4 linked regions of the Canis lupus familiaris genome follow. The protein of the gene in region 1 purifies or fractionates together with the protein of each later gene. This does not show direct contact. Links are inferred from orthologs where the notes say so. Each region holds a gene or a part of one and is shown on either strand. Other genes may lie near its edges.

What was found.
Region 2: the proteins of NUP153 (region 1) and RAN purify together in Homo sapiens (affinity purification with mass spectrometry; 5 studies listed by BioGRID and IntAct, counting the BioPlex papers as one, with this or other methods). This does not show direct contact. The link is inferred for Canis lupus familiaris from reciprocal best matches to the Homo sapiens genes NUP153 and RAN.
Region 3: the proteins of NUP153 (region 1) and NUP50 purify together in Homo sapiens (affinity purification with mass spectrometry; 8 studies listed by BioGRID and IntAct, counting the BioPlex papers as one, with this or other methods). This does not show direct contact. The link is inferred for Canis lupus familiaris from reciprocal best matches to the Homo sapiens genes NUP153 and NUP50.
Region 4: the proteins of NUP153 (region 1) and NUP133 purify together in Homo sapiens (co-immunoprecipitation; 3 studies listed by BioGRID and IntAct, with this or other methods). This does not show direct contact. The link is inferred for Canis lupus familiaris from reciprocal best matches to the Homo sapiens genes NUP153 and NUP133.

Annotation. Positions count from the first base shown.
Region 1 is NC_049256.1:17,836,311-17,843,476, reverse strand, and holds part of NUP153 (nuclear pore complex protein Nup153), read left to right. Parts: intron 1-2,820; coding exon 2,821-3,015; intron 3,016-5,762; coding exon 5,763-6,647; intron 6,648-7,166. UniProt on the Homo sapiens protein: Component of the nuclear pore complex (NPC), a complex required for the trafficking across the nuclear envelope. Functions as a scaffolding element in the nuclear phase of the NPC essential for normal nucleocytoplasmic transport of proteins and mRNAs.
Region 2 is NC_049247.1:1,619,818-1,627,060, reverse strand, and holds RAN (GTP-binding nuclear protein Ran), read left to right. Parts: upstream 1-3,629; 5' UTR 3,630-3,641; coding exon 3,642-3,677; intron 3,678-3,785; coding exon 3,786-3,870; intron 3,871-3,943; coding exon 3,944-4,069; intron 4,070-4,897; coding exon 4,898-5,085; intron 5,086-5,254; coding exon 5,255-5,425; intron 5,426-5,520; coding exon 5,521-5,565; 3' UTR 5,566-5,579; downstream 5,580-7,243. UniProt on the Homo sapiens protein: GTPase involved in nucleocytoplasmic transport, participating both to the import and the export from the nucleus of proteins and RNAs. Switches between a cytoplasmic GDP- and a nuclear GTP-bound state by nucleotide exchange and GTP hydrolysis.
Region 3 is NC_049231.1:21,793,690-21,801,421, reverse strand, and holds the start of NUP50 (nuclear pore complex protein Nup50), read left to right. Parts: upstream 1-2,770; 5' UTR 2,771-2,893; intron 2,894-7,065; 5' UTR 7,066-7,075; coding exon 7,076-7,144; intron 7,145-7,732. UniProt on the Homo sapiens protein: Component of the nuclear pore complex that has a direct role in nuclear protein import. Actively displaces NLSs from importin-alpha, and facilitates disassembly of the importin-alpha:beta-cargo complex and importin recycling.
Region 4 is NC_049225.1:10,150,487-10,158,109, forward strand, and holds the start of NUP133 (nuclear pore complex protein Nup133), read left to right. Parts: upstream 1-2,417; 5' UTR 2,418-2,529; coding exon 2,530-2,711; intron 2,712-5,118; coding exon 5,119-5,237; intron 5,238-7,623. UniProt on the Homo sapiens protein: Involved in poly(A)+ RNA transport. Involved in nephrogenesis.

The sequences.
Region 1 (7,166 bases):
GTCAGAAACTACTTGTTCTTGGTTATCATTTTCAAAGTTGACTAATACAGAAGCTGAAAGATCTTAAAAGGAACAGTTGTTCCCAAAACAAACACCACTTTATCTCTGTTTTGAAGTGAGGACGGCAAGTGGTCATTCCAGAGAAGGTTTCACCAGGGAGTAGACAATACTGCTTTGTGAAAAGACTGTTGTTGAATGTTAATGGTGATACCTATACCTGTGTGGTCTCTGCCAAGATGTTGCAATGATAGTAAATTACTGAATCTAACTTGGCAGTAAAAAACATGGAGTTAGATTTGAGTTTTTTGTTTCTCTGTTCTAATTTGAAAAAGTTATTGGAAATTCACAACTGGAAAGGACTCTGCTGTTTTTATAATATATAATTATTTGGTATAGATATATGGTAACATAGGTACTAAGTAAAAAGTGTTAAGAATATCATCGGAATTATACTTATTTTTTTATTGCATTATTCATGGATATGTAGTTTTTATGTCTGCAATGGAAAGTTGATTTGTTAACCTGTATACCCTATGTGTGAACACAAGAGGTGAGCCTTATTTCTAATTCTTACTGGACATGTCCACAAGAATAAGATTTCAGAATCTTCATTCTGAAATAACTTTCTTTTTCTATGTGGCATTCCTCCTCCTCACCTAAAAAAATAAGTAAATAAAAAAGCAAGCCTTTGCTTGTGGAAGAAACCAAAATTAATTCTGAGTTGATTGGGAGAATAAAACTGAGTTAGAAAGTAAATTCCTTCCACAAATAAAGGAAGCTCAAAAATTTATTCAAGCAGTCAAGCTTCAGTCTTGTAAATGATGAACCATCATTATAAGCAGAGGAGTGATCCAGTTAAATTTGTATGTTTGACAAATTGCTTCGTGGGTTTTTGGAGGATAGATTTGAAGGCAACAAAATTTGGAGACCAGAGGGCAGATGAGGATGTATCAGGAGTACATGTGGGCAAAGATCATGGCAATGGAGATACTAAGGGAGTCAAATCAGGATGTAGAATAATACATGGTTGATTTGAAGGTGTGAAGTTGGCACATAAATGCAAAGCCTTTAGATACATTACACATGCATGTTCGGGGCTGGAAATACAAATTTGGGAGTCATTAGGCTCTAGTTTTCAAATAAGAGATGGGAGCAGAGATGGATGTGAAGTGAGGGACTGGCCTAAAACTGAACTCTGTTAGCTTACGGGAACTGGCAGGAACGAAACCATTCTGTTAGCTTATGGGGAGTGGCAGGAACAAAACTTTGGAACAGTTAATATTGTATTTTATTTTATATTATTTTATTATTTTATTTTATTTTTTATTATTTTTTATTTTATTTTTTTATTTTTATTTTTATTTCATTTACTTTTTACTTTACTTTTTAAAGATTTTATTTATTCATGGGAGAGAGGCAGACACACAGGCAGAGGGAGAAGCAGGCTCCATGCAGGCAGCCCGACATGGGACTCAATCCCGGGACTCCAGGATCATATGCCCTGGGCCGATGGTGGCACTAAACCACTGAGCCACCCGGGCTGCTTAATCTTTTAAAGGAGGGACTGGGGAGGAAAATCCAAAACTACATGGCACTGATTTTGCTTCTTAGAAGAATGGACTTCAGGGAATGAGAATGGAGGCCTCAACAAGTTATGCAAGCAAGAGCTGAGGGCCACTTGACATAGGGCAGTGCTAGTAGGTTCAGAAAGGGAATGGAATGGATGGGAGAAACATGCAGAAGGCAGAGCCATCCAGCCTCGCTGACCAGCTGGCCAGGGGCACTGCAGCTAAGAGGGAGACCACAGAGCTGAAGCTCAGGTGCGCTGGCCACAGGTACAGGGTAGGAAGTGGTTTTGTTGGTGATGAGACTTGTGAGGACAGTGGACCGAAGATGGAACCTCAGGAAGCAGTTTTCTTGGCAAGAGAGAGAGCATGACAGTGGAAGAGATACCAGGTAGTTGGGAGAGGTGACATGGAGAACATGTAGAGATGGCCAGAATGGATGGCTCCATTTGTAGTAACGCACTTGCTTCATGATGGCTTTGTGGAGCCGTCCTTCCCATGCCACCTCCACTCCCTACAAACCCGCTAGTTCTGCATAAAGATTTAAATGTCACCTCTGTAAATTGGTTCTTCTCTTGCCCCTTAGTCATCTCTTCCTTCTTTTCTCATTTATCACTTTGCATTTTGGTGATGGTGCTACTATACATTTGTTTTGCTTTCCCCCTTTTTAGACCGTTAGCACTTTCAGAAGTTAAGCAGCATTTCATTCATCTTTATATCCTTAGTACTGTGGTATATTATGGTACTTTTAGTGTCTGTTAAATGACTGGGTTCTAACCAATGGCAGGAACTTCTGTGCCAAAATGATATTTCGAAGGCAGAGGCCTGGCCTTTGAAATTAATGTGGTCTGTGGCTATGTATTTTATGTGTTAGGATATTGCCTATAATTTATATGTTAAAATGCTGTGCTGTTTGAAGAGATTTGACAAAAATTCTTAAGGACAAAAAAAAAGATTCTTAAGGACCTTTTAGTCTCTGATTTCTCAGCATGTTTTTTTTATTTTTTTAAACCACAATTATTCACATTTTGGGTTAAGAGGGAGCTCGTCACTAGACATGGTGAATGTGAGCTGCTTATTTGTAAGATTAAAAGAAATCTGAGCTATCTATACTGTTTTTAACAGTGTAAAGTTTGTATTTCTGGCACTTTGTCTTAATAGGAAACACTAATTGAACATATAGACTTAATGGTGCCTTAAGATAGTGACATAACATGAATTAGAATTTTTATGTGTTTCCTCACTATTTTTTTAGGAAGTTTGGTACCTGCTTCAAGTAGCAGCACTGTCCCTGCCTCTCTGTCATCTGGAAGCTGCCTGGGGTTAGACAAGTTCAAGAAACCCGAGGGCAGTTGGGACTGTGAAATCTGCCTGGTGCAGAATAAAGCAGATGCTACCAAATGTGTGGCATGTGAGAGTGCAAAGCCCGGAACAAAATCTGAGTTTAAAGGTAAGGCATTGGTACAGTACCTCCTTGTACTGCCATTTTAAAGTGAAATATTTGCAAACATGTTCAATTTTAAAATTGCTCATTCTCTATTGAAAATTCATGTAAAATGAGATAATGTCCTGGATACTTTTAGCTCAGTTCTCAGAGTTACTGTAAAGATAAGTGATTTCAGTGTCAGCAGTGAGGTATCTTTTCTGCAGCTGGTAAGGGGTTATTCTGTCTTGCATTGACTCGGAGAGAGTTGCAGATAATTTGTTTTTAACTGTTAACAAACCTTTGGCTTCCTGACTCTTATCTGACTGGGAATTTATGCCCCGAGAACTTTGTTGTAAGTAATCTAGACTTGGGCTTTGGTTTCCCAGAGAATGTCCCAGAAAAAGAATTCTCTTCATATTTTGTTCCATAAAGGAAGAACTTCTAAAAACAATTCATTCTAAACTGCCTCTGGAGGCCAAGTTTTTCAAGTCTTCATAGTCCTCTGTGACTTACTGAGTATTTCATATGAGGTACAATTCACTCAAAAATTTGATACAAGCCAGGAAAGAGATTTTAGATCTGAAGGAACAGTCAGAGAGAGAGATGAGAAACATTATAATCTGTAAGGGAGGAGGCCTCTAAGGTGGAGACCATGAGGTCATTAGAAAAAGAATGCCAAGCTTCATCAGCTTGTAACCATGTCCTGGATAGCGGCTTTCAAACATTGAGTGGAAACCAGTCAGTAAACTTTTACATTGTGACCTACCACATGCACATGGTATTTGTCTATATGATTGAAAGAAAAGTATCACAAACCAGTATTTACCCTTTAGTATGTTTAAGTCACCCTGTTTAGATTCTTTTTCATTTTAGAAGAAAAATGCTGGTTGGAACCCACTAAATTAATCACATGGCTAAAGAGACACACAGCTGGTTTGAAAATCACTGCATTTGTGGGGAGGGGGCACCTGAGTGTCTGACTCTTGGTTTGTGTTGGGGCTCTGCACTGAGCATGCTATCGACTTGAAGAGATTCTCTCTCTCCATCTGCCCCTCCCCTGCACCCATTTGTGCCCTCTCTAATTCTCTCTCCTAGAAAGTAAAAAAAAAAAAAAAAAAAAAAAAAAAAAAAAAAAAAAAAAAAAAACCAAAACACTGCATTTGGGTGTTTTAGAAGATCACTACTTTCCAGTCCTCTTGAGGTCATTATGTAGCCGTTTTTCTTTCTTCTTTACCTGTTGTACTGTAATCACCATAACTTCAAATCTGTCTCTCTGAGGCAGATGTGATAACAAGTTAATTACCGTCTCTGGCCCCTTCATTTTCAGCTTTCTGTCTAATATGACTGAAGATATTTAAAGACCGTGTGGAATACTGCTTGCTTCTCAAATTCTGATAATTTTTCAGTTAAGTTTCTTAGGGAAAGAAAGGAATGGGTCGTCTCTAAAGGGGCAGAGTTTGAAGATGATAAGAGGGCTTTTAAAGCTTGGCTGTCATTTGTCTCTATACTTGGGTAGGCAAAGTAATGGATAAATATCTTGACCCTTGAATGATTCCTGTTTTGAGCCAATCAGTTACTTCATTTCTAGTTTACTCAGCTACATTGAAGTACTAGGAAACTAAGACTTTAATCTTGTCAACATGTTATTTGTCTTTTTAAGTACTGGTTCTGTTCACGCAGTTCTTTTGGTTCTTTGATGGTAAAGTTTTCTTTTTTAATGTTTGATAACAAATTTATTCACAAGATTTCAAACTCTAATTATGACAGGATTCACAGTGAAAAGTCTACCTCTTGTTCCCATTAGGTTCATTTTCCATCTTTCCTCCCCCACCAGAGGTAATAACTGGTTAGTTTCTTAAAACTCTTCCAAAGTTTCTTTATGCATATGACAAGCAAATATTTTCTTATTCTGTGTATTCTTCTTTCCCTCTGTTTTGTTAGAAAATGTTGTATATCATACTGCCTTTCTGCTCCCTTGATTTTTATTGTAGATTAGCTTGGACACATCTTTGTTCTTCATTCACAGCTGCCTGGGATTGCATGTGGCATTTTGCATGTTTGTGAGTTTATCTTCAAAATAAAGACTTAGGGGGAAAAAAAGTTAAGTAAAGACTTAGGATGTAAGGACAATCTTCTGGCTGGCTAGGCGGTGTCCCCTCCTCCCCTCACATCTCCACATACAACCCTTCCCAAGCTGTGTGCTCAAGGGTATACGAGTAGTTGTGCTTCCCTGCTAGGACCTCCAGACAAGCTATCAAGGTCCGTTTGTAGGAAAATATAGGACAGTAAAGCTTCCAAGGCTCCAGACACATCCAGATGAGGCCCTGCATGTGGCAGTCCGCCTTTCTTTTAAATAAATAAATACGTACGTACATACTTAGCTGTAGAATTGCTGGGTCAAAGGATACGTGTGTTTGTAATTTTTAGTAAATACTGACAGTTGCTTTCCTTGAATTTTGTACTAATTTACGCATCTACCTGTAATGTATAAAGTGTCTGTTAGTTCTAGACTCCTCACCAACACTGTTTTATCAAATTTGTTTGATCTTGGCCAGTGTCAGGATGAAAAGTGGTATGTCAGTATGTATAGTTGTGAGGACTAAGATGTGATTCTCCTGCTGAATTTTGGGCAGCTGGTTCATGTTTTATGGCCATTGCTGATAACTCTTCAAAGGCCTTTCCAGAGTTGTTATTCTTTTGTCTCTTTGTTTTTCAGGGGTACATTTTGTTTGAGAGGATAACATTAATTCGATGTCTTTTATATTTTGAAGGCTTTGGCACATCTTCCTCATCTTCAAACCCAGCAGCTTCATCCTTCAAATTTGGTATCCCATCATCCTCTTCTGGGCCTTCTCAGACTTTAACAAGCACTGGAAATTTTAAGTTTGGAGATCAGGGAGGCTTCAAAATAGGAGTGTCTTCAGATTCTGAGGCTCCAAACTCCATGAGTGAAGGCTTTAAATTTTCTAAACCAATAGGAGATTTTAAATTTGGAGTTTCGTCTGAGTCTAAACCTGAAGAAGCTAAAAAAGACAATAAGAATGATAATGATTTTAAATTTGGACTTTCTTCTGGTTTAAGTAATACAACTTCGTTAGCTCCATTTCAGTTTGGGGTGTCTAATCTTGGACAGCCAGAAAAGAAAGAGGAAACACCTAAATCTTCATCTGTAGGCTTCAGCTTTGGTACAGGTGTTATTAACTCCACACCTGCTGCTACTAACACCACAGTGACCTCCGAGAATAAGAGCAGCTTCAGCTTTGGAACCATAGAAACCAAGAGTGTTTCAGTGGCTCCTTTCACATGTAAGACGACAGAAGCAAAAAAAGAAGAAATGCCTGCCGCCAAAGGAGGGTTCACTTTCGGTGGTATAGAACCTGCCCCTCTGCCATCTGCCTCATTGTTTGTTTTGGGAAGGACAGAAGAGAAACAGCAGGAGCCAGTCACTTCTACTTCTCTGGTGTTTGGGAAGAAAGCTGACAGTGAAGAGCCAAAGTGTCAACCAGTGTTTTCCTTTGGGAATTCAGAGCAAACCAAAGATGAGAGTTCTTCAAAGTCCACCTTTAGTTTCAGTATGGCGAAACCATCTGAGAAGGAATCGGAGCAGCCAACAAAGGCCACTTTCACATTTGGAACTCCAACCAATACTACAGCTGGTAAGTGTTACAATTTTATTTTTGTTTTATTTTTATTTTACAAGGTGTCTCTAATATTTAGACAAATGGAGCAGGTGAGAGAATGGTTTACACTGAACATAGTTGAGAGAAACTGGTAACTTTTTGGAAAGGAGCATAGTGTTTTCAGTTTAACAGTCCCAAACCCCCACAGTGTGATGATGGTATCTACACACCTGATTTTGAGAAATACAGCTCTAGTGGAAAACCCACAGTGTTGCCCATTTGTCCATGTTTCTCTCTCCTGTGTGAGCTTTTACATTCGGAATTGGCATACTATTCAGGAAAATAGGCCTTCTTTCATGAGCTCCTGAAATATTTTCTAACTAAATCTTTACATACAGGCCTTCATTCCCAAATAGAGCTAACCAGTCATCATCAGGCGCATAGACATCAAATATATTAGTCCCTGAAACAGAGAGGTGATTACAAAAAGCAATATCCTGAAGGAAAAATGAAATCGCATTTTTAAAACTTAAAAAAATGGTTGGTGAAATAAAA
Region 2 (7,243 bases), on another chromosome or scaffold:
CAATGAGGAATGCTGATGTTTGAGGAAATTACAGGTAACAGCTGAAATCCCTGGGTTTTTATAATTCTGTTTCCTCTCAGTGCATTTGGCTGCAAAGTTTGAAATTACCGGGTAAGCACGGAGTTGCAATCCATGTTGTGCGGCAGAGACCAGAAGTACCCCCTGTGGACTGCAAAGTCATTAGCATTTGGAAGGGCTGAGGGAGAGGCACCTGGGTGGCTCAGTGTTTGAGCATCTGCCTTCGGCTCAGGTCATACAATTCCAGAGTCCTAGGATTGAATCCCACATCGGGCTTCCCTGCAGGGAGCCTGCTTCTCCCTCTGCCTGTGTCTCTACCTCTCTGTGTCTCTCATGAATAAATAAAAAAAAAACTTATAAAAAAAAAAAAAAAAGGATGGGCTCGGGGAGTTTTACTGGGGAAACTCATTATCTATGTCAGCCAGAGTATGTGTTCCCATTTTTTTCATGTGCTCTCTGAGATGATCATCTTCAGAAGTTCTGGGACAGGGCCAGTTAATGACATCTGCAGCTAATGAACAAACTAAACCACCAGGAGCTCCGTTTAGAATGCTAAGCATGGAGAACAACTAATATCCATATTTGACAGATTTCCTCTTGGATTTTTTTTTTGGTGGGAAGAAATATTTTTCAAAAATGCCAGAAGGTGGGATCCCTGGGTGGCGCAGCGGTTTGGCGCCTGCCTTTGGCCCAGGGCGCGATCCTGGAGACCCGGGATCGAATCCCACATCGGGCTCCCGGTGCATGGAGCCTGCTTCTCCCTCTGCCTGTGTCTCTGCCGCGCTCTCTCTCTCTCTGTGACTATCATAAATAAATAAAAAAAAATTAAAAAAAAAATGCCAGAAGGTGGGAGCACCGGTGTTCTCACCACCTGGAGCTACACGGTGGTTAATATGTTGTCCTGTTTGCTTCAATTACCTTCTTTTAACAGAAGAGAGGGAATCTTCTGTGACTGTTCTGCTCGCCCCATCATACCCCTTCCTACTGTCTCTCGAAACAACAGCTTCATGATTCCGTGTATATTGTTGTAATCAATTAAAAAAATTACCTACATAACATTCAAGAACTAATATGTATAAAAGTGTACATAAATGGTATTGTACCGTACAATCTCTCTATAAAACTACATATACTGTGGACTATTTAAGACCATTATCACATCTTTCTTGAACTTCCTTCTTTCTCAACATTATCCTTTGAGATCTAACCCTGTTGATACAGATGAACTTGCTTCCTTTCAGATGGCATACTGTAATAGTTAAATATTTGTAGTTTCCCTACCAATGGGTATCTCTGGAAGCTGCATTTTTTGTTGCCATAATGTTGTAGCGAACGCTTGAGATACTGTCTCCCTGTGCATATGTGTGAGTTTAACTCCAGAGAATCTCTCTAGAAGTGGAAGTTACAGGGTCGCCAGCTCTCGGCACTCATGTTTTATCAGTTCCTGCTTTCCAGAGAGGCCAAAGCAATGGTCACACCCAAGCAGCATAGAGATCTGTTTGGTGTTTTCCTGAGGGTCCTGGAGAGCAGTGGGATTGGAGTTCCCAGCAGGCAGATTCGCCCAAGTGTTGTGCCCAATTTGCATCACTTGTGTTCCCAATAGGTTTGCTTGCAAAGGGCACTGAAGACTAAGTGGCTAACTCCTCCTCCGTCATCTGGGTTCTCTGCGCTCTGGGAAGAGTCCCCACGGTGGAATCCTTCCTGAGCAACCAGACTACTCTGATGGGGCCACCAGCGGTACTACTCTTGCCGCGAGTGCGGATGTTTGCTTGCAGAGGGGGCCGAGAGGATCTGGGTTATGGAGAATCTGTGGCTGTCCACACAAATGCCAAAAACTGGCCCTAGATTTAGGGTAAGAGGTTAGAGGACTCCACTTGGCCCACTTCCTTGCTGAGAATGAATAGTAGTTAACTGTCAACACTTGCTGAGCTTGTGGCTCATCTTACTTTCTGCCTACACCGGCCCTACGAGGTGGGCATCCCCAGCAGCATGTGACTTCTGAGTGCATGGATCTCGTCTGCATTCTTGCCAGCTTTATTGTCTCCACAGTCTGGAACCTACATACTCATCGATTGCATCCAAATTTGTAACTGGGATGCGAGCCGCCAGGTTTGAAAACACGATTTCGTCATCCTGTGCGCAGGATACAGTCACAAAGGCTGCTGACCAAGGAAATGCTTTAACAAAAGGGTGGCTGCCTTTTAGGGTGAGAAAAAGCATCGATTTTGCACCCTTTACCCCCAAGTAAGGTTTTGGCTGGAGCCAGGGACACCGGGTGTGGGCGGTGGGGGGGCCTGAAACACAAGGCAGGGGCCCGCGGGGTCCAGGTGAGAGGAGGGGGTGCGGCGGGGGCCCAGGGCAGGCTCTGCGGACCGGGGTCTGGGAGGAAGGGCCGGGGCCGGGCCGGGCCGGGGGCGCAGGAAGCGGCCGAGAGGGTGATGGAGGCCCGGGGGAGGCAGGTGGCAGATGGACGGGCGGCTCCGGGAGAGGGTGCGGGTCGGAGCGCCCGGGGTGCCGCGAGAGCCCACAGGGGCAGGGCCACAGGGGCAGGGCCCAAGGCCTCCGCACGCGCCCGCTTCCCCCGCGGCGCACCGTCCCGCGCGCCCACGGCGAGGCCCCACGCCCGGAGGCCCGGGGCTTTGTGTCGGCCGCTCCCCGCGACTTTCCCGCCCAAGAGGCCTGCGCTCTCCTCCCAGTGTCGTGGCGCGGCCGCAGCTGGGCGCGCCGCGTCGGCGTCGGCGCATGCGCGCGCTGGAACCCGCCCTTGGGCCGGCGCACGTGGCCCCGCGAGCCGGCGTGCGTCCGCGCGCCCGCGCCGAGCGCGACTGCCGCCCCGCCGCGACTCTCCCCTCCGCGCCCGGCCGACGGGTGTGGCCGGCCGAGCCCGCGGCGTGCGTGCGCGCGCACGCCGGGCCACGTGGGAGCGACGCGGCGCCGTTGCCCCGCCCCCCCCGGCGCGCGCCGGCGTCGGCTGCGTCTCCGGGCATTTGAATTGCGCTTCCGCCATCTTCCAGCCCTCAGTCAGACGGGCCGGAGACGCTTCTGGAAGGTAAGGCAGCGGGGCCGGGCCGGGGGCCGCGGGGGCCGCGGGGGCCAGGGGCCGGGGGGCCGGGGGGCCGGGGGGTCGGGGGCCGGGCGGGGGCCGGGCGAGGGCCGGGCGAGGGCCGGGGCCGGGGCCGGGCGGCAGTCGTGCGGGCCGGGGCGGCGGCGGCGGCGGCGGCGGGCTCTCGCCGTCCCCTGCCGTAGAGACCGAAGACCGTGGCCGGGACGCCAGTCGCGGTGGGCCCGGGCGGGCGGCGGCCCCGGGGCGGCGCGGGCCGGGGGGCGCGCGATCGGGGCCCCGGGCGGCCCCGGCCTCCGCCCCGCGCGCCGGCCTCCGCCCCGGCCTCCCGGCCTCCCTCCCCCACGGGCGCGCCGCCAGACCCGCCGCCGGAGCAGCGCCGCTCGCCCGCCCGCCCGCCGCCGGGAGCGCGCCGCGGCCCCCGCCCCGGCCCGGGCGTGCGCGCGTGGGGCCCGGCCGCCGGAGCCCCTTTGTGGGCCCGGGCACGTGGGGCGGGCCGGCCATGTGGGCCCGGGCCCCGCCGCCAGCCGTCCCACGTCTGTCTCCCCGCAGCACCAGCGCTATGGCTGCCCAGGGAGAGCCCCAAGTCCAGTTCAAGGTGGGTGGTGCGCGGGGGCGGCCGGGGGGAGCGGGGCGGCGCGGCCCGGGGGGCGCCGGGGCCTCCCCTCCCCCCCCCCGCCCCCCGCGACCGCGTCCTGTCTCGTAGCTGGTGCTGGTTGGCGACGGCGGCACCGGCAAGACCACGTTCGTGAAGCGTCACCTGACGGGTGAATTCGAGAAGAAGTATGTAGGTACGTGGGGGGAGCCGCGGGGGCCCCCGGGAGCGGGGCGCGAGCGGACCTGACGGCCGTGCTTGTGTTGCAGCCACTCTGGGCGTGGAGGTCCACCCCCTCGTGTTCCACACCAACAGGGGCCCCATCAAGTTCAACGTGTGGGACACCGCCGGCCAGGAGAAGTTCGGCGGGCTCCGGGACGGCTACTACATCCAAGGTGGGTGAGGGCGGGCCGGCGGCTGCCGCGTGCTGTGTCATGATGGGCGCAGCGCCGAGCCTGGAGCCTGGAGCCGGGACCCGGAGCGGGCTCCTCACCTAAGACAATGAGCATCCCACGAGGTGCTGCTGTGGCTGCCGGAGTCGTTGGGGCTGGTTGGGGGTTTTTTTGCTTGTTTTTTTCCCTCAAGGGCACTGTAGAGTGGCAGATAAAGACAGGAAGAAAATGTCATCTGGGATCTCTTGTGATGAAAGATGATTGGGAGTCCTTCCATATTTTGCATCCTTTGCTATGTTACAGATACACAGCTTTTTTTTTCTCTTCTTAAAAAGTGTTTAATTAGGAAACTCCTAGACTGTACATACTTCGGTTTGTTGTCTCAATTATATTAGAATTGTGTTCCTCATAGGTCAGTATGTAGGCCTGCGTGTTTTAAGGCAGAATAACATACTCTTTTGTGTAGTTTAGGATCATTTAAAGAGCAGGTTCTGAGATCCTCAGAATAGAGGAGACCAGTTGTCTTAGGGTGCTGCTCTATCGGTAGTCTACTTGAGATTCTGGGATGGGACGGAATTAATGAAGTATTACGGGAGAGATTTGATAAGCTAGGCTGGTAGTTCACACTCACACAGAAAATGAAACTTTAAATCTTGTTACGTATTACAGTGGTTGGAGATCCTTAAACTTGGAAGAGAGAGACATTGGGGTGTAGTGAGTGCAGAAGCAGAGGTAGCCAGATTGGGCCTGTCCCCTAGCCCGTGCTCCTTAGCATTCCTCATTTGTGCAAGAAGTCATACATGTGTAACAGTTTTCCTACATCTGTTTCAGCCCAGTGTGCCATTATAATGTTTGACGTAACGTCAAGGGTTACTTACAAGAATGTGCCTAACTGGCATAGAGATCTGGTACGAGTGTGTGAGAACATCCCCATTGTGCTCTGTGGCAATAAAGTGGATATTAAGGACAGAAAAGTTAAGGCAAAATCTATCGTCTTCCACCGAAAGAAGAACCTTCAGGTATGTTTTTTAAAACTTAATTGTTTTTCTCTAAGATGAAACTACGGTAATAGATCCACTAAAGGAAATTGTGTCTGTGGTATGGATGGAAAAACTATTTTTAGTTTTAAACATTTCAATGATCCTCAAGAAGTAGATTTTTAAAAACTTATTTTATTTTATGGAACAGTACTATGACATTTCTGCCAAAAGTAACTACAATTTTGAGAAGCCGTTCCTGTGGCTTGCTAGAAAACTAATTGGAGACCCTAACCTGGAGTTTGTCGCCATGCCTGCTCTTGCCCCCCCAGAGGTGGTCATGGATCCAGCTCTGGCAGCACAGTACGAGCACGATCTAGAGGTAGGTGGCAGATGGGTCCGTCAGTGGGATCTCTTGGGTGTCCCGTGTCCTGACGGCTCTAACCCATGGTGTCCTGACGTTGTGTCTCTGTCCAGGTTGCTCAGACGACCGCGCTCCCGGATGAGGATGATGACCTGTGAGAAGTGCAGCTGGAGGCCAGCGTCAGAAGTCTAGTTTTATAGGCAACTGTCCTGTGATGTCAGTGGTGCAGCGTGTTTGCCACTTTTATTATATAGCTGAGCAGAACATGTGCTTAATCTTTGGGATGCTGAAGGAGATGAATGGGCTTCGGAGTGAATGTGGCAGTTTAAACAGTACCTTCATTTTTTTGGACCTGCATACTTAGCTGTTTTGGAACGCAGTTGTTTCCTTCCTGAGTTTCAGATAATGAGACTGCTACAGTCCCATCACAATATCCAGTGGTGAAATCTCGTTTGTCACTGTCATTCCCATTCCTTTTCGTTTAGAATCAGAATAAAGTTGTATTTCAAATATCTAAGCCAATGAACTCCTCCCTTGTTTGGTAAGCATCTTAAAACCACTAACAGGAAAAGTTGTGCCACGTTACTGTTGAACTGGCCTTTGCTATTCTCCCTTAATTTGAATCTTTGCAGGTTAAGTTCTTGTCTATTTGTACATTTGGATCCTCTCACACAGGTGACAGGGCAGACATCCGCAGTATTCCGTTTGGTAGATTGTTAGAGGGGTGAGCATCCGTGGTGAAGCTAAAACGATGCCCGTCGCATCTGCCTTCAGACTGGGTGGTGTCACCTGGGGAAGAGCTTTGGACTTCTGTGACCTGTTGGAACAAAACTACTAGACGTTTCGGATAGGCATTTTAAGAATTACAGTTAACATTATTTTGTGACCAGTAACCGTGCTCTCATGTAGGGATGTTCAGAATCTGGTAGAACGATAACAGATGACGGTGGGGACTTGACAGGAGTCTCATTTGTTAAAAATGAGTGTAAGTTATGCATTGATTTGATTTTGTTTTAATGTTAACGTCTAATGTGAAGCTGGTACTCTAGAAAGATGTTCCACGATTACCCGCTGCTTTCAAGTATTTCTGAGTGTTAAAGATGCTGAAGAGTAAGGATTTAAGTTGGGCATCTCACAGCTTTGATGCTTTTTTTTTTTTCTGAAGGATTTTTGTGGCCAATTCAAAGGCACGAACACTAAATAGAAAAGTAGATCTTAGAATGGCTTCTTGAAACGTGAAACATTGCAAAGGTTTCGTTGGATCAAACCATTTATCTTTGTATGATTTACACATTTAAGAACGAGTGGAGTCTGTCTTCAGTTTTGACCCCATGGATGCTATACTGTAGCAGTTAGGAGTCTTAAACTATTATGCTCACTTGAGCACTGCTATGGTTGTTTACCAAAGTTCCTTAGATGTCCATTTCTCCTTAAATGGTTACTTTCTTACCTAAAAAGAAGGTAGGAAGGGGTTGCTTAAATATATGGAAAAATGAAATACAGAGGGTAGAATTTAATAAATTTCAATATTGAGTAAATGTATCAATAGATGTACTTCAATTACTGTAAATGTTACACTATATTAGGTTCAAAACCAGATTTTAAGTGACTTGAAAAGATCGTTCCCATCATTGGGATGAAACCTTTTTCAGATACGTAATAGGAGGCATATGTGTTTGTGACCTGTGTGGAATGCAAGTGTGTGTGACGTGACTAAATCTGAAATGTAACTGTTAAATTTGGAAGCTACTTCACTTACCTGTTGAAAATGGGATGGGAGAGAATTCACAAGTCTTACTGAAAGAAAAATTTGCTGCAAAATATATTGCTTCTTTT
Region 3 (7,732 bases), on another chromosome or scaffold:
TTATTGGAAAAAACCTCACACGGTTCAAGTCTGTGTTGTTCAAGGGTCAACTGTATATATGTGAAAGGCTACCACTACTTACCTAAGCTATCTGTGTCCCTTATGTGGTTAACAACCTACGTATTATAAAGCAAGTTATCTAGTACTTGTACTTTGGTGTTTAAAAAACTGTTCAATTTATAAGAAGGCACTAAAAAACATACTGGAATGAATGAGTTTCACACAGGCAGAACCAAATATAGAAATTCACAAGCTATTGATCAGGAGGGAGCTCAGGAAAAGTCTGGGATAATATTTTTCTCAATGGAGAAGACGGGTTCATTCACTGGTAAGGAGCTGGGTGCCTGTAATGTACTAAGGATGGTGAAGCAGAGGTGAGACTGGGGGCTGGGAGGTACACAGGCAGGTAGGTGGCTGGAAAGGTTTAAGTGATGAGTTTGTTTATTTATTGAAGATTTTATTTATTTATTCATTCATTCATTCATTCATTCATTCATTCATTCATTCATGATAGAGAGGCAGAAACACAGGCAGAGAGGGAGAAGCAGGCTCCACGCAAGGAGTCCGATGCGGGACTCGATCCCAGGACCCCAGGATTGCGCCCTGGGCAGAAGGCAGGTGCTAAACCGCTGAGCCACCCAGGGATCCCATGATGAGAGTTTATTATTATTTTTTTAATTTTATTATTTATTCATGAGAATACTCAGAGAGGAGACAGAGAGGCAGAGAGGCACAGGCAGAGGGAGAAGCAGGGTCCATGCAGGGAGCCATAGTGGGACTCCACCCAGGGTCTCCAGGGTCACACCCTGGGATGAAGGCAGGCACTAAACCACTGAGCCACCTGGGCTGCCCCTGTGATGAGAGTTTAGAACAGTCACTGTGAGGTATGGGAAAGCTGACCTGGGACAGAAGGAAGAGACCAGAGGCCACGTGTTACTGGGCACCAAACAAATGTAGAGCCTCCCACCCCCTAACAGCAGGCATTCAGTGGTTGTGGAAAGGGACCCTGGGCTGAAACTGAGACCTGGGCCCTGGCACTAACCAGACGGATGCTCTGGCAAGTCATGCACGATCCAGAGGAAGCTCTACTCCAAGTTCTCTTTTTACTGGTAAAAACAAAAACACTAAAGAGCACGCCACTAAAGATCGTGCAAGAGGGGATCCCTGGGTGGCTCAGAGGTTTAGCGCCTGCCTTCGGCCCAGGGCCTGATCCTGGAGTCCTGGGAACGAGTCCCACATCAGGCTCCCTGCACAGAGCCTGCTTCTCCCTCTGCCTGTGCCTCTGCCTCTCTCTCTCTCTGTTTCATGAATAAATAAATAAAACATTAAGAAAAAAAAAGATCGTGCAAGAACACACGGTTACTAGTCACACACACACAGTTGGCATGATTCAGTCCAATCCACAAAGACTGTGCGAAAGACAAACATCTAATACAGTTCCCCGGCTGGGTATTTCTTTTTCCTTTCTAGCCTCAGGAAGAGAAAAAAAAACCAAACAAACGAAAAAAATCCAAACATCTGGCCACATCTACCTTCTGGATTCTTGTCTTGGTGTGAAGTCACCATCACAGCAGGCAATAAATCTGGCTTTATTTTTAAACGTCCAGCGCGAGCGCCACCTGCTTTTAACCCTTAATGTGTGCAATCCAGCAGGATAGGGGTCGTGGACACACCGATCCAAGGGTGGGCGTTTCCGGGCAGGGCTCCTGAACACAGGAGATGGTTGTGGGCAAGCTGGTTTTCCACCTGCAAGGATGCACAGACCTTGAGAAGTTCCGACCCTAAATATCCGCCCCCGCACCCCCTCCGAGGCAGGCGTCCTAACTAGCTCGCGATGGCCCGGGCAGGTGCACGCCCCGCGTCACCCCGCGTGCCCCGCACGTGCGGGGATGCGCCCCAGTGTTCCCGCGAGAGCACGAGGCCCAGGGCGTTAGTTCCGCGGGGGCGGCGCGCGGGCGGACCTGCGGGTGGGTGCTGCCCTGGGGCGCGACCCCCGCCCACGGGGCGCCCACGGCGGCCGCAAGCGCACGCGGGCGGGCCGGGGGTCCGTGTCTCCCGCTCCGCGGCCGGGGCCGGTCCTCCGGCGTCGGCGGGCAGGCGAGCCGCGGGGAAACACGGTGGCGGCGCCGAGCGCCCCGAGGTCACTCACGTTTCCCGGCCGCCGCCTGTCTCTCTGCTCAGCGCCGCGCCGCGAACGCCCCGAGCCCCGGCCGCGCTCCCGTGCCGCCCCGAGCGCGTCGCACACCCGCCGGGCCCGGCCGTAGCGAGACGCGGCGCGCCGCCGACACGTGACCACCGCGCGTAGCCTCCCGCCGCGGGCGCCGGCTCCCCCGGCGGGGGCGGGGCGGGGGAATGCACGCATGCGCGCGCATGCGCGAGACGGGCGCGCTCCTCCCGGCGACGGTTTTTTTCCAGGCCGCAGAGCGCCTGCGCCGCGTGTCGCTCCACGGCCGGCGGAGGGAGGTCCCGCGGGCCGCGGCCGGCGCGCCTGCGCAGTGGCTGGACGCGGGCGTTTCTTTCCTCCCTTTTTATAGCGTCGGGTCGGGCGGGGTAGAGCGGACTTGTAAGATGGCGGCCCGGAGCCCGCCGGCCGCGGCTCCTCCGGCGGCCTCTGGCTGAGCGGACTGCCCTCCCCCCGCCGCCGGGCACAGAGAGGCGCGGCCCCTGGAGGACATGGTGCTTGCGGCCCGGGGCTTGCTGACCACCAAGCTCTCGGAGAACCCCGGCGCGGCCAGGCGCGCTCACCCCGGCCGGCGGCCGCCTCATCCCCGAGGCCCGCGCCGGCGCCCGCACCTGCTCGTGTCCCGCAGCGGCGCCCGCACCTGCTCGTCGTCCCGCAGCCGGCTTGCACCGCGCCCGCACCCGGAGAGGGCCCCCGGCGGGCGCCCGGCAGGTGAGAGGCGGCGGCGGCGTGAGCGGGGGGCGGGGGGCGGGGGCGGCGAGCCCGCGGAGGAGGCCGGGTTCCGGCTCGGGATGGGGCCTGGGGAGGAGGGACCTGGGGAGGCCGGGGGTACCTGGGGGGAGGGACCTGGGGTGGGGGGACTTGGGGAGGAGGGACCCGGGGAGGAGGGACCTGGGGGGGGACCTAGGGAGGAGGGACCCGGGGAGGAGGGACCTAGAGTGGGGGGGAGGGGGGACCTAGGGAGGAGGGACCCGGGGAGGAGGGACTTAGGGTCGGGCGGAGGGGGGACTTGGGGAGGAGGGACCTGGGGTGGGGTGGGGGACCTGGGGGGGAGGGACCTGGGGTCGGGGGGAGGGGGGACTTGGGGAGGAGGGACCTGGGGTGGGGTGGGGGACCTGGGGGGGAGGGACCTGGGGTCGGGGGGAGGGGGGACTTGGGGAGGAGGGACCCGGGGAGGAGGGACCTAGGGTGGGGGGGGGGACCTAGGGAGGAGGGACCTGGGGAGGAGGGACCTAGGGTGGGGGGGTGGGGGGAGATGGGACCCGGGGAGGAGGGACCTGGGGTCGGGGCGGGGGGGGGGGGGGTACCTGGGGAGGAGGGACCTGGGGTGGGGGGGAGGGACCCGGGATGGGGCCTGGGGAAGGAGGGATCTGGGACGGGGAGCTGGGGTCTGGGTGGGGGGAGTGAGACCTGGGGAGGAGGGACCCGGGGTCGGGGCCGGGGCCGGGGCCGGGTTGGGGTCGGCCCGGTGCGGTGACCGTGCGGTGACCGTGGTGCGGAGCTGGCCTGGGCCCCGGCCGCCGGGTCGGGTCCCCCCTGGGGCTTCCCCTCGGCGGTCTCCGGGCAGGGACCCGCTGCCTACGCCGGGGCCTTGCTTCCCTCCGCAGTCCCGGGCTGCCGGTCACCCCTGTCCTCTGCCCCGTTAAGCAGTTTTGAGACTTCGCCTTCCGCAGCCTTCCAGTCTCCGGGCTCCGCGCCTCCCCCCCCCCCCCCCCCCCACCTTTTCTCTTTTTCTCTCTCCGTCAAGTATGGTCATACCTGTTCTCGTCTCAGGGTAAACTGATGTCTGAAGTTCAACCCCGAGGTGGAGGCAGCACCTGGTGGCAGAGACCACGGAACACTATCAGGCACAAATAATAGTTTTCTCCAATTACGAGTACTCTCAATTTCTTATCAGTACTTCATACCTAGGAATCATTTTAAAATTTGGTGCCTCTTTAACCACAAGCCCTAATTTTTTTTTCAAATCCTTTTTTTTTTTTTTTTTTTTTTTTTTTACAATTTTGTTTTTAAGTAATCTGGACACCCACGGCGGAGCTGGACCTCACAACCTCGAGGTGGAGAGCTGCATGCTCCACCAGTCAGCTAGCCAGGCACCCCTAAATGCTTAACTGTAGCCAAAACTGAAGACTCTTTGGTGCTGGGCTTTGTTCTGAGTACTTCCCAGAGATTTTTTTCTCCTCCTCTTTTTTCATAAAAAATATTATCTGGAGCATCCTACTTTGAAATAGAATACAGATTTGCTAAAATATATTTTATTTTATTTTATTTTTTTTAAGGTTTATTTATTTATTCATTCAGAGAGAGCAAAGAGAGAGGCAGAGACACAGAGGGAGAAGCAGGCTCCCCGCAGGAAGCCTGCTGTGGGACTTGATCCCTGGTCTCCAGGATCACACCCTGGGCTGCAGGCAGCGCTAAACTGCTGAGCCACCGGGGCTGCCCACTAAAATATATTTTAAAGCCTGGCTCATAATTCTCTTTTTCTACCCTGTGCTTCATACATTATTGGGGAAAAGTAGTATTTTGTAGCCTTTGCTTCTAACAAAACTTGTGTCTGTAATAATGTTTATTAAGCCCTTCCTCTGTTCCAGGCAGTGTTCTGAACTAAGTTTTCAATTTATCTTCCTTAATTTTCCCAACGCCTTCGTCTTCTACAGATGAAGAAAGTGAGTCATAGCAGTTTTAAATGACTTGCCAGAGGTTTAGCAAGAAAATGGCAAAACCGAGATGCCAGCATCTTGTAGTATTCTCTAAAATAAGTAGGGCCCCAGATCAACCAGCCACTTGCTGGAGCACCTGCTGTGAGCTGAGCCGCAGATTTGGGGCAATGGGAGTAGACCCGGAAGCAAAAGGGAGATCCCTGCCCTGCGGTTAGGTGGCCAGTAGTCTGGGGGAGCAGCTGTTTGGTTTTGGTGGTTGTACTCCCCTGGTTATCTTTCATTTGTGGGCCTGACTAGATGTGACAGTTTCATTACAGTTTGCACTTTCAGCTCCACCCCCTTTTTGCCTTAACTCTTAGCAAAAAGGACTCCTTCAACTTCTCGTCTCTTCTGCCCCCTGGTGGAGGTGTTAGTTACTGACTAGGGAAAGAGTCCGCGCAGAGACCAGGCCTCTCAACAGTGGAAGTTCAGTAAGGAAATGGGTCTGAAAGGGTTTTGCTTGCTTGTATCTGAATGACCAAGATTAATGGCAAAATCTGACCAGGTATTTGAGGGGGAGACCTTAAAAAGAGGGATTTGCAGATAATGGCTGAGTATCCTTCCTACTTTGTGTTAGCATCGTGGACTTGAAAGCCATTTATTTTATAATCAGGGAAAAAACCATGTACATCCTTGAATAGAAAAGTTCAGACATTATTAGGATATTATTAAAAGCTGAAATGCCCAATGTAGTTACGCTTACAGGAGGTCAGATATTGAAGGACTTTGGAATGTCAATGTCTGAATTTTATTTCATAGATACTAAAGGGAAATAGGCAGTGTGTGAAAGTGTATCTTAGTAATCATAAAATTCTAGGAACTGACTCTGGTGGTTTGTGGTGTTGAGACAAGAGAGTGGGTAAAGACCATCAGGAGTCTACACAGGTTTCAGGAACTCTGAATGAACTTCCCACTTGCCCAGGACAAAGTGGGAAATGGAGGGTTTTTTGGTCCATTCAGCTGGTGAGTTAGAGAACAAGCCAGCACAGCACTTACAGTGGAGCTCTCTATTGGTTGTTGTGCTATTTTTGCTGTTTAGAGCAAAGAATATATGTTAGGATCAGAAAACACTGCAAGTTATAAGGGCTGGGTACTAGCACCCTCTCTGGTTAGGTGCGTGTATCTACAGAGAGAACAGTTGGTCCCTGTCTCCTCCTCTTCCCTGGGACATGGTGGCTTTAGAGGAGTTAAGCTGATGGCTTATTCTTTTATAAGTTTTCAGTGTTAACACATGTATATTAATTACATTTTAAACTTTTACATGATGTTCTAGCTTAGCAGTATACAATTTGGGGTAACTAAATGTTCAGTCTTGGGAAATTTACGTACTCAATAAAGCAGAGTACTCGTGCTGTGAAAGTATTTCCAGTGCCTTATTAAAATTCTTATCTAAGAATGAACTTCTTTATTGGATCATCTTTAAGAGCATTTTAAGTTTTGCCTGTAGCAAGACTATAATTGTAATTTGCATAGAGTAAATTTAGCACTTGTTGATTACGTATACAGTACTTAAGATTTCACATTTTTAAAAGTGTTTTAACTTCTTTTAAATGGAGCTGGTTTAGCGTTGTTCAGAAAGAGTGCCAGTTCCTTAGAAGACCTGCATTGCCTACTTCCATAATTCTTTATTGTATATGTAACACTGGGAGCCTAATAACACTGTTGTAAAGTTTTCATTAAGGCACTTCCCCTGATATCAGGAATTTTTTTTTTAAATCTCGTTTCATGCTAGAATGAATTTTTTAAAAATTTTTGTAAATTCTTGGGGTGCCTGGGTGGCACAGTCAGCTAAGCTGTCCAATTCTTGGTTTCCTCTCACGTCATGACCTCAGGGGATCAAGCCCTGCATTAGGCTCCATGCTCAGTACAGAGTCTGCTTTGGATATTCTCATTCATATTCTCTCTCTCTCTCTCTCTCTCTCTCTCTCTCTCTCTCTCCCCCTCTCCCCCCTCCCTCTCTCTCCCCCTCCTTTCCCCTCCCTCCCCCTCTCTCCCTCTCCCCCTCTCCCTCCTCCTCCCCTCCTCTCTTCCTCTCTCCCCCCTTCCCTCTCTCCTCTGCCATTCTTGCTTGTGCTTGCTCACACCATCTTTCTCTATCATATAAATCTTTTAAAAATATTCTTTGTAAATTCTTATATCTTGGTCTAGAAAAGCACTTTTCACTTCTTTTTACTTTTAACTTAGATTTGAAAATATGGCCAAAAGAATTGCTGAGAAGGAATTGACAGATAGGAATTGGGATCAAGAAGATGAAGCAGAAGAGGTAAGATGTTTCTCTGAGAATGATTTCCTGCTGCTTCTAAATTTAAATTTGTTTTGGGGATTCCTCAGGAAGATTTTGTAGTAAAATTAAAAAGTCTTTTAAAAAACAGCCTGAATAGAAAATAGTCTGGTTTCTTATGACCTGTATTTAGTATAGAAATTTATTAATTACATTTGAGTGTCTTTTTTCAGTAGTGCCTATCCCTGAAATATTCTCCTTTGTAGAAGCACCTTTCTGAATTTCATGTACTTGCTGCATTCTAAACCTATAGTTTTAACCAAGACTGAAGAGTGAATCAGTGATCTAGTCATGAACTTAGCATGGCGCCAGTGCCCAAACTTGAGAAATGGTACACCACCCCATGCCATCTCAGTCTGCCATATTCATAATTTGAGATTTCAGATTAAGGTCTTTTCTTGTACTCTAATGCCTCTTGGAGGCCTGTCTTATTCCATGTTTGCACAGATCTGAGGGCCCCCCATCCAACCCCCCAACATTTAGATTAATTGGAATAGAATTTAGATTGACCTAGTTTCTTTCCTAACAAAATAAAAATGGTCTTCCCTGAGGAAATATTTTAATTTTTTT
Region 4 (7,623 bases), on another chromosome or scaffold:
TTATTTCATTTTAAAAAAAGATTTTATTTATTCATGAGAGAGAGGCAGAGACACAGGCAGAGGGAGAAGCAGGCTCCACGCAGGAAGCCCGACGCGGGACTCGATCCCAGGACAGGGATCACAACCTGAGCCAAAGGCAGATGCTCAACCACTGAGCCACCCAGGCGTCCTGAAGTATTTTATTTCAATTAAAAAATGGGCTCGTTGTGGGAAATATCAGAGAGGGAGACAGAACATGAGAGACTCCTAACTCTGGGAAACGAACAAGAGGTGGTGGAAAGGGAGGTGAGTGGGGTGATGGGGTGACTGGGTGATGGGCACTGAGGAGTCACTCCATGGGATGCATACTGGGTGTTATGCTATACATTGGCAAATCGAACTCCAATAAAAAAAATATACAGAAAATAAAGGGCTCATCGTGGAATACTGTTCTTAGACCAACCTGCTTTTTAAAATTTTACAATGGGGGGATCCCTGGGTGGCGCAGCGGTTTGGCCCCTGCCTTTGGCCCAGGGCGTGATCCTGGAGACCTGGGATCGAATCCCACGTCGGGCTCCCGGTGCATGGAGCCTGCTTCTCCCTCTGCCTGTGTCTCTGCCTCTCTCTCTCTCTCTCTCTCTCTCTCTCTGTGTGTGTGACTATCATAAATAAAAGTTAAAAAAAAATAAAATTTTACAATGAAATATTTTCCTATATCCTTAAGTATTCATTACACGCATCTACATGTCTTCTTTTAATGTGAATATACTACAAAGCTATCATTGTACATCTTTCTATAGTCTTCGCTATTATAAACAATACTATCTATATGATTTTTGTTTTTTTCAGATAATTTCTAAAAGTGAATTGCCAAGTTTAAAGAGCATGTGCAAGTTATAAGGCTTTTTGATAGATTATCCTCTCAAAAGATGGTACTAATTTATAAAAATCTCACCAGAAGTGTAAATATCAGCACGTATTACTCCACAGCCTTTCAACATGAACTATTTTCATTTTTTAAAAAACTTCCAACTAGTTAAACAGGCAAAAAATACTGATTGGTGGTTTGATTCGTATTTCTTTAATTACTAGTGACATTGAAGATCTTTTCATGTGGTCATTTCTAGTCTTTGACTTAATGCTAGTTCATGCCTTCCACATTTCCATTTTTTTTTTTTTCCTTTTGGGGTGGCTTGCTTTCTCTTGCGGATTTTCTTTAAAGAGTACTATTTTATTGGAAATACTGTTTTTCTTCAGCTTGTTTGCTTTCATTCTACGTTTGTGTTTTTTGCCATCCATGAATACAGTCATGTCTCCACTATCTAATTCTCACAAGCGAGTACTTTCAGTAATTTAATAGAGGCTCAAAAAGGTGACAGAGATAGTGAATAGCAGAGGCGAGATTTAAAGCAAGTCCCATTTAATTCCGGAGTCTATACACTCAATTACTACGTGAGTGGTTGTCAAAATATCCCCAGACAGCAGCATCACCCACACCGGGAAGCCCGTTAGACGTGCACATTCCCAGGCAGTGGGTGGGTGGGCAAGCTCGAGCGGGAGACGCGGCTCCACACCATCCCTCCTCCTAGTCTCCTGTAGAAGGAACCACGCTGTTCAAAATAAGGTCAGAGGATAAATAAGGAAATGACTTAAAAAAAAAAAAAAAGGAGATGGCAGCCACGAGGAAAATGTAGCAGCCCGGGTGGTGATACCGAAGTTCTTGGGTCCCCGCTGTCCCGGCCAGGCTGGCCCCGGTGGCCCGACTCAGCTCGGCGCTCCGGGATGTCGCGGCGGCGGTCGGTGCGCCGAGTGACTCCGGGACGAGCCCTCCTTTACCCGGGGGCGAAGGGGTCCTCAAGGAAAACAGGAATCCAGTTTTTGACACATGGGTCGTGAGGAGTCTGCAGGACACGCAGGTCCCATTGTCCCCCCGGGAGCTGCTGCAGAGGGCAGCTTCTGAGCCAGATCCGGGCTAAAGACCTGGACTCTGCTAGCGTGGATGAGACGGCGCGGAGTTGAGTGGGGAACGACAAACCTGGAGAAGGACAAACATAACCCTGAGTGTGACAGCACTGGCGGCCTTTCAGCGTGGACCAGGGATCCGACACTGCAGCTGGCGAGAGGCTCAGGAGACACCAGCACACGGAGACGCTGGTGTTCAGGCTGCCGGGGGGCCAGCCCCACCCCTCGGGGTCCAGAGGGCCCCGGGCTTTCCAGTCTCGCTTCCCTGAGGCTCCCGACACCCGCCGGCCCCCGAAGGCCCCAAAGGAGTCACCTCTCCGACCACGCCCCGCGGCCGACTGCGCCGCTCCACGTCATTACCGCGCGCCCTCCCACCGTCCCCACCACACCCCGCGCCTCGGCGCTGCGCTTTTACGTCTGACCGCGCGCTCTGCCCCCGCCACCCTACAAAGCCCGGAGCTTGGCGCTGTGTTTTTACGTCATCACTGCGCGCCCTCCCGCCTCTGGGTGTTCAAGCTCCGCGCGCGAGCAGAGCTGCAGGCCGCACCGGCGGGATCGGCGCGTTCTGTGTCGCCTCTCCCTTCCGTCATGTTCCCGGCCGTCTCCTCTCCGCGGACACCCGGGCCCGGAACCCGGAGGGGCCCGCTAGGCGGAGTCGGGCCAGGTTCCACGCCCCGGACGGCGAGCAGGAAAGGGCTGTGCCTGGGGTCGGCAGTCAGCTCCCCGGTGGTCTTTTCGCCCGTCGGCCGGCGTAGCTCGCTGAGCTCGAGGTACGTGATTGTCCCCGGTTCGGTCCGGTGATGCGCAGGCTTACGTGCCTCGCGGGCCTGCTGGGCCAGTGTCTCCAGAATCCTCCGGAACCGGGGGCGGCGGGGAGGAATGCCAGAAGTTTGGGGGAAATAGACCTTCGCCATCTTTGCGGGTTATTTCAGCCTCGCTTTTAATTCGTCAATTGTGCCTTCACTTTTCACTTTTCATGGAAAAGGTCTCTTCTACCTCTGTGTAGAAGGGAACAGTTGGATTGCAGTGAGTGGTTGCCTGCCGCCTCCTTACTGCCCCTGTGTTCCGGTGCAAGTCAGTCATTCTTTTCATCTGTGAAATGGCGATAGTATTTGACCTGAACCCGCTTCACTCAAGGCCAAATGAATCAACATGAAATTCCTCGACGATGGTGGGAATGAGCGTCTCCAGCCTAGGAAAATCGTATAGTGCCTGATATAATTACTGCCGTTAATATATCTGCTGATTGATAATTAAGGGACTTTAGGCCACACAAGTTAATTTTGTAGCTAAATTAAATAGGGCAAAGGTTATCCGTAGCATTGACATAAGAATAGTTACCAGAAAAAAGCGTTTCACATTAGTCCACATATCTGTTAAATCATGCTCCATGCCCCCCTGTCATAATTAATTTAGAACTTTAGAAGGTAGCATGTTTTAGAGTAGTTTCCTCAGAATTCGTCTACCAAAAATGAACTTTTTTTTTGCAAGAAAACTGTGATGCTGGATTTTGAATTTATAGTTAAAATTTATCTCTGAATGTTTGCAATGCTTTAAAGGAGAAATGGTTTTTAAAAACTACACTGCGTCTTTGACTTTTTGCTTTTGAAAGTGCTCTTCGAAGTGGTGATCTTGTCAGTGTTTTCTACTTTTGAGAAAAATCAGGGAATAAAAGCTGTACTCTATTTAATGTGTTTTAAAAACTTTTCTTACTTTCCAGTGATCATTTATTTTTTTCTTAAGATTTATTTATTTATTCGTGATAGACATGTGGCGGGGGGGAGCAGAGACACAGGCAGAGGGAGAAGCAGGCTCCGTGCAGGGAGCCCAATGCAGGACTCGATTCTGGGACTCCAGGATCATGCCCTGGGCCAAAGGCAGGTGCTAAACCGCTGAGCCACCCAGGGGTCCCCTCCAGTGATCATTTAAAGAAAAATCTTTGTTATAACGCTCTGTCAGGAAACAAAGCTCATTTAATCCTCACAAGAGGGAATAAATTTTATACTGGTAACTTTACATTATTTTTGAAGGTTAACAAGATGAGAAGGAGACACAATTTTTTTTTTTTTTTTTTTTTAGATTGAGAGACACAGAGGGAGAAGCAAGCTCCCTGCAGGGAGCCCAACATGGGACTTGATCGCTGGTCTGTAGGATCACGCCTTGGGCTGAAGGTGGCCCTAAACGCAGGAGATACAATTTCGACTGCTGTATCTGGTGTTGAAGAACAGATAACAGCAGATATTCAGGACCCTATTTAATTTCTTGATTGTACAAGTCTAGTAGATTTCATAAAGTTCTATAGCTGATGAGGGCAAAATGGGTGAAGGGGAGTGAGAGGTACAGACCTCCTGTTACGGAATGTGTAAGGCATGAGGATGAAAAGTACAACATTGGGAATATAATCAGTGATATAATAGGGTTGCATGGTGACTGTAGTTATACTTTTGAGCAGAGCATAGTTTCCAATTACTGTATTGTACATCTGAAACTAATGTAACATTGTATATCAACTGTACTTCAATAAAAAGAATTCTGGGGGATCCCTGGGTGGCGCAGCGGTTTGGCGCCTGCTTTTGGCCCTGGGCGCGATCCTGGAGACCCAAGATGGAATCCCACGTCGGGCTCCCGGTGCATGGAGCCTGCTTCTCCCTCTGCCTGTGTCTGTGCCCCTCTCTCTCTCTCTCTGTGTGACTATCATAAATAAATAAAAATTAAAAAAAAAAAAAAAGAATTCTGGAGCTGATGAGAGCTTAAGGATGATCTAACCCAATGTTTGTAAAGCTTTTTTGACCACAGTGTAGAATAAATTCTAGATTATATTCTTTTTTTTTTCTAGATTATATTCTATTTCATTTTTCATAAATGTTGATTGAGACCTTCAAAATGACCCACAATTTGGAAAACACTGATCTAGTCCAACCTTTGTATTTCACAACTAAGGAAGCAGTTATAAAGGGTCTAAGCAAATAGAGCATGCATCTGATTGCTAGAGCAGAAGAGTCCGAAACCAAGTTTTTCTAGATCCTGTCAGTCTTTTTTTTTTTAATGAAAAATATAGTTAATTGCAGTAGACATGAGCCAAAGCAAGATCTTCTCTTCATGTGAAAATAGGTATGTAAAGATCAGAATAACACAATTTTAAGTTATGATTCAAATAATATGGTTTCTTTTCTTTAGAGGGACACCTACACGGATATTGCCACACCACTGTGTAACTGAGTCTATGAACTATGATGTGAAAACATTTGGATCTTCTCTTCCTGTTAAAATAATGGAAGCCTTAACATTGGCTGAAGGTGGGTATCATTTTCCATTTGCCTTTATTAGCAATTCAGAATGCAGCCTGGCTCTAGCTTAGATCGAAATTTGTGCTTTCTGTGATATTCCTTCACTTAAATCGGGCAGAAACAGATAACATATTTGATCTTCACTGTAACTGAAAAATAAAATAAATTTCAGAAGCAGAATGAGTCTATTCTTAGCACAATCATGTTACTTCTTTTATGGCTTTAAACATTGCATATGCAAAACTCAGTCCGATTTCAGAATTTGTGTGTATGAAGTTAGCTTTAAAAAAAAAAAAAAAAACAACCACTGCCTCACACTATTGGGTGTAATACTGCAATCAGGTCAAATCTTACTTCTATTTCTGGATCCTGTGTAGTATCCCAGAGGTTTTATGTACACATTTATGTTATCAATGTGGTACCTGTAGAAGATTCTCTTGGCAGAGAATTAGAGTGGAAATTTGGAAGATGCAGTCACACAAGCATCAAAAAGGCAACACTAAGGACGAGGGGTTGGGTGACTGGGGGAGCAAAGTTCAGAGCATCCTCAGTGATGAACCCAAGTCATTTTTGTTTATGATTCAATTCTAGATTTTTGTGATTTTCTGGAAGTGTTTTTCAAACTGTAAGTAGTGACTGAAGTCAGTTTAGTGTCTCATGGCCAGCACTTAAAAAAACAGAGTGCATGATATCAGAGTGCATTTCATATAATAATGTTAGATAATTTTTTTTAAGATTCTGTTTATTTATTCATGAGAGACAGAGAGAGAAAGGCAGAGACACAGAGGGAGAAGCAGGCTCCATGCAGGAGGCCCGACATGGGACTCGATCCTGGGTCTCCAGGATTAGGCCCTGGGCTGAAGGTGGCGCTAAACCGCTGAACCACCCAGGCTGCCCTGTTGGTTTTTTTTTTTGTTGTTAGAGAAATACTGATTTTAATTCAACATAAGGTAAACTCTAGGCATCTGTCATCTTTCAGCCTAAGAATTAGCAAAACTGTTGAAACAAGGCACAATTTTCCTCATATTTGTTACGTGGCTCCAGTTACAAAAATTTTTTTTATGAAAATGTTAAAACATAAAAATAGAAGTCTGATTTAAAAAAAAAGGTATAAAACAATCCCCGCAAAACCTGTTAATGTTGATCCTGATTCTACAAAACAGCACCAGTAAGAAGAATAAAAGTTGTTAAAAACCATTACGACAGCATTTCTGAAATCAGGCTGCCCTGTTTTATTTAAATTGTATTTGAATGTATTGTGATACAAAGTGTGTTTCATACTGTGAATGACAGTCAAAAAAGGTTAAAGTACCCTATTCTAGAAAGGAATATTTCTCATCAACTTGAAGTTGCATATCTTTGTCTATGAGTCCTTGGGAATTCAGTTACGGTGGTGTTCAGACAACTAAATTTTCACAAACCTCTATTATGCACTGTTCTTGTTTTAAATACATATGTTATATTTTTTTTTACTCTTCAAAAAATTTCAGCTTAAATTGTATTTAAGCCTTTTAACATATTCCTGGTTCATGCCACCAGGCTTGAACAAATAGCACAGATAGTACTATTAATAGTACAGAGCCTCAAAGGAGAGAATCCCTAGAAATTAGGATGTGCATATGTAAACTATAAGAACTTTTCCCTATATAGAAACCTACCAAGTACTGTGTGTTAAATCAGAGACCTCAGGGGTTTGCCTGTAGAGTATTTGGAGCTGCTATATTGCTTTTAGGAAAAGAAAATATTGAGCATTCTAATTCAGCAAAAAACACACACTTAGCTTAGGCATGATTTAGTATTGTAGCTTGTACGTTATTGATGCCTTTTGTTTTGCCCTCTGTACCCTGCTTTTAAGCAAAGAGCAGAGCTCAAGTTAATTAAATTTCTAGGGCTAACACATTAGTTGGCCACTAACGCTTATGACAGCAACATACTAATTTAGTTTTGCCATTTAATATGGAATGTAACCCATGAGACACCTGGGTGGCTCAGTTAGTTAAGCGGCTGGCTCTTGGTTTTAGATAAGGTCACGGAATTGAGCCCTGTGCTTAGTGGGGAGCCTGCTTTAGATTCTCTTCTACTCCTTCTGTCCCTCCCTCATGTATGTGCTCTCTCTCTTTTTAAAATAAATAGCTTTTTAAAAAATATGGAATGTCACCTTTGATATTTATATATGTTTGCATATAATGATTTATTATACTTTTAAAGAAAGTATTTTAAAATCACATTCTTTTGAAGGAACAATTTTTCCTTGAAATTTTTTTATATATTTAATGGGAGATTATTTGTGTTTCCATATCAAAATAAAATTATAGATGTTACTAAATATTACAGAAAGTAAGATACCTGTTTATAGCAAATATTAAAAGATAGTAAACCTAAGCCTAAAATACAC